2 linked regions of the Mus musculus genome follow. The protein of the gene in region 1 interacts with the protein of each later gene in a pairwise test. Links are inferred from orthologs where the notes say so. Each region holds a gene or a part of one and is shown on either strand. Other genes may lie near its edges.

Region 1 (3,821 bases):
AAAAAGACTTTTACCCACTCTGGGCATTTTCCCAGCCCAGAAAGCTAACATTTCTGTTCTAGTTTCCGTTTAGTCAAAAATAAGTAAGTAAGTTATTAATTAAATAAATATAACAACTTGGGGAGGAAGGAATTTGTTTCATCTTATAGTCTATCACTGAGGGAAGTCAGGCAAAGAACTTGAAATGGAAACCATGAAATAATGCTGCTTGCTGATTTGTTCTGGCTCATGCTTAGTAGCTTTTATATATAGCCCAGGAGTCTCTTCCAAGGGAATGGTGATGCCCACAGTGAGCTTAGCCCTTCTATATCAATGATCAAGACAACCCTCATAGGCATGCCCATAGGTCAATCTGATATAGGTAATTCTTCAGTGGAGGATTTTCTGTCTGGAGACTCTAGCCTGTGCTCAGATGACAGTTAAAACTTACTATAAAACTTAGTATAGGTTCTGACAAGACTAAAGGCTTAAGTCAGAGAATGCAGAAGAAAGAGACAACAGAAGCAGATGGTAAGTGCCTAGAATGCTGGTGGATAGGATATGTGTGGATAGGATGGATATAGAGGAACCCAAGGACAGTGTGCTGTGAGGTTACATTGAAAGCCAAGAAGCAGGTATGTAAGGGCTTTGTAAGCTATAGGATTTATTTGCCTCTCCTCTACAAAATCAGTGAGAATCAGGAACAGGCAAGATCCCATAAAGATCTGAAAACATATCTCCCCCCGCCCCCCCCCACATTAGTTATGGAAGCACATAGGGAGATGAACCTATGTATGATTCTAGGAGATATATTATATATTATATTTCTACGTAACAATGGGAGTCATATAGGAATATGCTCAAAGACATCAATCTATATGAAGGGAGATGGGACATGATTCAATATTTATTATCCTAAAGACTTTCTACATGAGCAACAAGAAAATCCATACAAAACCCAGGTGTGGTGGTGCATGTATCTGGACACTTGGAGAAGTAGAGGCAGGAAGATCAAAAACTCATTGTCATCCTCAGCTATGTAGCAAGTCCAAAGTTACCCTAAAATCTGCGAGAGCTCGTCTCAAGAAAGAAAGAAACAAAAGCATTGAGAACTGGAAGGAACATGCTTCTATTCACATCACCGCCCTTGTGTAGTAGGATGTTGTCAGGTTGGAGGATGTACTGGGGGGATATGGAGGGGAGCCTAGACTACTGAAGGGCAATGAGAAGTGAGATGAATCAGAGAGAGATGTAGAGGCAGAAAGGCTTGCTTGCCCACTGTTTGGAAGTGTCAGCAAGAAGCAAGGTCAAAAGGAGACCCCAAGTTTAGTCGAGAGAGCAACATATTATTTGGATAAAGGAAAAGGATCTGTTTGGGACACTGGGGAAGGAGTGGGTGGAAGGATGACAGCCCCTATTCTCCATCCACACCCTCCATACACCTCAAGAATCCTTTCCCTCTGAGTTTGCCTGCTACCCTCAGCTCTAGTGGTGCTTCAAGGGGTAGAGCACTCAAGATGGTAGGAGGATGACCTGAAAAACCTGTGCACTGTTTGTTGTCAGACTTTGGAATGACAAGGGACATCTACGAGACAGATTACTATCGGAAAGGGGGCAAGGGACTGCTTCCTGTGAGGTGGATGTCACCTGAGTCCCTGAAGGATGGAGTCTTTACTGCTTCTTCTGATATGTGGTGAGTTATACATACATGGGTGGATATTAGTGCTGGGCTTGAACTCCTGAAGGTGTCCCACTAATGTGCTCATCAGGAGGTGATAGAGGAAAGCCCATCTTTCACATATAGAAATGAAGGTTTATCTGTCTGGGTTCTCTTAGATGGCTATCTTTATGTATTGATTGAGGATAGTCTTAGAACTTATTCATGAATTATAATATAAATCACTGTGGGTGCATGCATGTGCATGTGTGAGATGCAGGTGTGACCGTGCTATGGCACAGATGTGGAGGACAAAGGACGACTTGTGGAAATCAATTCTCTCCACCCACCTCCGTATGAAGCCTGAGGATCTAACTCAGGCCATCAGGCTGGGCACCAAGTGCTGCCCACTGAGATATCTTCCTGGCTTGCACATCCAGGTCTTTACTCAGGTTTTTGGGCATTGAACTCAGGTCCTCATGCTTTGGTGCAAAGGACTTTGCCAACTGAGATATCACCTTAGTCCATCACTTGTTCTATTCATTGGTCAACAAAGTTCTAGTAAGCCAAAAGGGGTATTGAACAAATGTATCTGAGATAGAGACTATTGTACGTTTTGTTGGCTTCTTTGTTTACTGCGTTCAATTGTCATTGGCAGGTCCTTTGGGGTGGTCCTTTGGGAAATCACTAGCCTGGCTGAGCAACCTTATCAAGGCCTGTCTAATGAACAGGTGTTGAAGTTTGTCATGGATGGAGGCTATCTGGATCCCCCTGATAACTGTCCAGAGAGACTGTAAGTATAGAAAATATCTGGAGTGTGTGAGGGTTTGCACATTACATATGTTTTGTGTCTGTATATTTTAGGTACATATGCATGGATTTGGTTTGCAGGCCTTATGCCCACATATGTTTATATAGCATGCCTTTACATCCAGGCTTGTATTCGCATATTGTATCTTGGATGCCCACTTTCATTTTCACATGTGCCTACATATATGTTTATGCTTACATATATTTATGCTGGTGCATGTGTCATGCAGTTGACATACATATATTTGCATATCAAATCCATTTTAAAGATTTATTTTTATCTTAGGTATATGAGTGTTTGCCTACACGTATGTTCATAACATATATATACTTGGTGCCCAAAGACATTAGGAGAGGGTGTTAGGTCCTCTGGACCTGGAATTACAGGTGGTTGTGAACCAATACATGGGTGCCAGGAACTAAACCTTAGTCCACTTCAAGAGAAGCAAATGCTCTTAACCACTGAGCCATCTCTTTAGCCCCTTAAATCTTTTTTTTTTTAAAAATGCACTTATGTGTACCTGTGTGTAGTATATAAATGTGTGGAGGGCATCATCCTGAGAAGTACTTACTACTCATCTCCATTGAGACATGGCCCTTCATTGGTGTGGTTCTCACTGATTCAGCTAAGCTGGCTGGCCAGCCATTGAGTCCCTTGGATCCTCCTGCCTGTATCGTCCCAGCCCTGGGATTGTAAATGTGTACATTTTTTAAAAATTACTTACTTATTTATATTTTATTTGCATTGGTGTTTTTCCTGCATGTATGTCTGTGTGAGGGTGTTGGATCCACTGGAACTGGACTTACAGACAGTTGTGAGCTGCTGTGCAGGTGCTAGGAATTGAACCTGAGTCCTCTGGAAGAGCAGCTAGCCACTGAGCCACCTTTCCAGCCCCAAATGTGTACATTTTTTTTTTAAATGTAGGCTCTGAGGATCTAACTCAGGTTCTCAGGCTTGAGGGATGAACACTTGTAGAGTTTTCATTTGTCATAGTCAGTTGTCATTGAGGGCTTGTCTAGACAACGCTGGCTGGTGGGCATGTCGATGGGGATTGTCTTGATTGTGTTAGTTGATGTCACCTCTACGAGGCACCGTTTCCTGTGCAGAGGGTCCTGAACTCTCTATATAAAGTGGAGGAAGCAGGCTGAGCAAGCTTGCCCGTGTCCATTCTCTATCTGCTCTTGACCGAGTGTGCTGTGACTAGGTGCTTTGAGTTCCTACTGCCCTGACTTCCCCACCCTGATGGACTGCAGCCTGAAATCATGAGCTGAGATGAGCTCTTTCGACCGTGTCTTTTATTGGGGTGTGTTATCATCATAGCAACTGGAACAGAAATTAAGCCCTGGGACAGAGATTCACCACCTTTCCTTAAAG
Region 2 (3,276 bases), on another chromosome or scaffold:
GCAGCGCAGCCCCCCCGAGCAGCAGCAAGCCCTAGCCACGCCGAGGGGGAAAGCACAGAGCCGTTGCACCAACTGCGCGCCTGCTCCAGACTCACCGCCCGCCCGCAGCCACAGCAACCGGAACCGGAACTCCAATGGGTCACCACCACGGAACGCGGTGGGGAGGGAAAGCAGGGAAGGGCCCAGACGCCGCACCCAGGAAGGCTGGGCCTCGCCACGCCACTCCTCCGAAGTGCGCCTGTCGCCGCCCAGCTAGCCCGGTAGCAGAGTGGAACGCACCACTCGACAGGGGCCGTGCGAGCTGCGGGTGGGCCTGGGGGCGGTCCGGACACGCCCCTTCCCGCCGCGAGCCAGTCGCCTTGCAGATACGTCCCTACCGCACAGCCTCGCAGCTCCCCAAATCTCTGCAAACTGGTGCCTGCGGGCTGGCGCTGGCTTGGAGCCCACTGGACCTAGCCCAGATGGGGTCCGTCACCACCTCCCACAGACAGCCCCCATCAATCAGACTTTCCAGAGGAGTTGAGAGGCCGAGGTAAAAGAAATACGAACTTTAATGAAGACTATTTCCCTTTGGTATAAGACATCCAAACCAAAAATTTGGCGACCATTCCTTGTCCAGAAAGCCTACACACAGAGTGAGCTTGCAAGGTTTCTGTGCTGGCTGCAGCTGCCCGAAAGCAGAAGGTAGGATCTAAAACTATCACATCATAGTCCCACAACACTGCTCAGCCAAATTTCTGCTCAGTTGTCTTGGCGAAAAAGAAAAAGGGGGGGGGGAGGAGTGGGGTACAATCCTGTCCTAGTTAAGGCCAGGGAGTAAAATCCCAACAGTTGTTTAAAAAAAAAAATAAAAGTTTGGAAAAGTCATCGAGGTGATGTATAAATGTAATTGATTATCATAATTCTGTGCTCAAAAGTCAGCAATGAAAAACAAAACCAGGAAAATAAATCTACAGCCCTAAAATGTATACATGTTTTTTAAAAAAGAGAGTGCAGTTCCAGACCTGCAAATGGTATTGGGGATTGTCTACTGCTTCAGTCTTATTGCCTCCACAAAACCCACACTGACTGTACACACCCTGGAGGCCCAAGTCAGACGCACACACCTATCCCAAAGGAGGGAGGCAGGATGGGGTTACAGTGAGGGCTATACTTTGGCTGTAGACTATAACACACATGCAAACATGGGAGGAGCAGGCTTGAGAAATGTATACAGACCCCTTGGAGGAAAGGCATTGAGGTCAGGAGGCACTGAGCAAGATGGGTCCAGTCCTGCCCCTCCCCGCTACCATCAGGAAGAAGGCTCTGGGGTAATCGCTCTTTTTGGTTTTTGGAGACAGGTTCTCTCTCCATAGCCCTGGCTGTCCTGGAACTCACTCTGTTGTAGATCGGATGGCCTCACAATTCCTCCTGTCTCTGCCTCCTGAGTGCTGTGATTAAAGGCGTGCGCCACCATATTCAGGCTTGGGGCAATCTCTTAAGGGCTGCACATCCGAAAGGCAGAGCAGATAGCGGCCACTCCTGTCCCTATTCTCCCTAGACACAGGAAGGGGTGCTGAATAGGACAGGGCTCCAGAAGCCAAGGTGGCAGTAACCCCTGTCCACACGTGAAGGGCCTGAGAACTCTGCATTAAGTATCTGCAGACCTATGATAGTCAAAGGCACAAAGTTTAAGGGGAAGCAGAGGGAGTGGGATATGTTATGCGGGATCTGGGGTACCCTGAAGACCCAGGAGTAAACCAGAGGTATAATTATTTCCCTTCCCCCAAAGGGCAGTTGCTCCACTGGGCCTATCATCACAGGGCATTTTCCATTATAAGAACCCACCCTTTGGGGGGGAAGGGCATCAGGTTGGCACAGGCAAGGCCCAGACAAGGGACCACTCTGCACATTAATACTTTGGTGAAGTTTGGCCAGAGGCAGGATGCTACCCCAGGCTCCTTACTGAAACCCTCTTTTTCTCTCTCTCAAGTGGGCACTAAACCCATGTCCTCGTTGCTCCCAGTTCCCACCCAAGGCCAGACCCACAAAACAGAGGTCCCACAAGTTAGAGAATACGGGAGACGGAAATGGAGAGCATCCTGTTGGAGAAGCTGAGAAGGATCACACTTTCCGATCCACGGGTTGCTGTAGGCACAGTTCGCTGCCCGCAGAGATGATGGGCAAGTGATTGTCCATGTGGTAGCTGATCAGGTGACTGACACTCTCAAAGCGGTGATCCTTTGTCCGAACCTGGGAGGCAGGGAGAGAAGGTTGGGTCAAGAGAAGAGCTCAGGAAGACTGAGGAAGGCGGGCCAGCAGCCGTGATTATCCAGGCATCTTTACAGAAAAGACAGTCACATGGGTGGGAATGGGCAGTGAACTGGGCGAAGGGGAAGGAGACCAGAAATCACGGAAGCTGACAGTGAAAATTCTGACTTGAAGGAAGCTGGTGTCTCTCAAAAGTGACACAATGCAAAACCAAGGTGGAAAAAATGCTGAGAAGAGAAAAGAAACTGAGCAGAGCGGTGGCGGCACAGCCTTTAATCCCAGCGCTGGGGAAGCAGGGCAGGCGGAGCGCTTCAGTTCGAGGTCAGCCTGGTCTACAGAGTGAGTTCCAGGGCTACACAGAGAAACCCCGTCTTGAACCTCACCACCACCCCTCCCCTAAAAAAAAAAAGAAGAAAAAGAAAAGAAACCAAGGTTGTATGGAATAGTAAGGCAGGTTAGATTTGTTGAAAACAAAACAAAACAAAACAAAACCCTGAGTTTGAAGCTAAGGAGCTAGGGAGGCTCCTGACTCCTCTTGCAAGAGAAAATTTGGGGTCTCCACCCCCTAACCACTGACACTGGGCACCACTGCCTTTCCAGTGTCATTTCCTCACTTAGCAAAAGATCAAGTAAGCACTCTCTGGGGGCTGGCAGGCTTCACTGGGATGTGAGGACTGGTCAGAACTGAGAAGAACACAGCTCAGACTCGAGGACAGCAGGGAAGGAACCCTGAGCCACTGCAGGTGGATGCAAGTGTCCAGCAAGGGCAAAGGAGTCCACAGGAAGCCTCCGGCAAAGGAAGTCTAGAAAGCAAAACCACACCAGCCCCTGCCACACCTCTGTCACACTTACCACACCTTCAGGGTCCACCAGCAGCAAGTGCTTGGGCTGCCCACTCTGCAGGCCAGTGAGCACATACTGGCCAGGCGTGGTCGTGCTCTCTCGCACCAAGAAGTCACCATTGAGCTGCAGCAGCGCCTCGGCCTCCCTCCGGCTCAGCTTCCCGTGGAACCAGGGCTCCCCTTG

The links.
Region 2: the proteins of Insr (region 1) and Shc1 interact in a two-hybrid assay, tested with the Homo sapiens proteins (2 studies listed by BioGRID and IntAct). The link is inferred for Mus musculus from reciprocal best matches to the Homo sapiens genes INSR and SHC1.

What each region holds. Positions count from the first base shown.
Region 1 is NC_000074.6:3,157,304-3,161,124, reverse strand, and holds part of Insr (insulin receptor isoform A preproprotein), read left to right. Parts: intron 1-1,542; coding exon 1,543-1,672; intron 1,673-2,294; coding exon 2,295-2,429; intron 2,430-3,821. UniProt on the Homo sapiens protein: Receptor tyrosine kinase which mediates the pleiotropic actions of insulin.
Region 2 is NC_000069.6:89,427,273-89,430,548, reverse strand, and holds the end of Shc1 (SHC-transforming protein 1), read right to left. Parts: coding exon 3,103-3,276; intron 2,233-3,102; coding exon 2,104-2,232; 3' UTR 520-2,103; downstream 1-519. UniProt on the Homo sapiens protein: Signaling adapter that couples activated growth factor receptors to signaling pathways. Participates in a signaling cascade initiated by activated KIT and KITLG/SCF.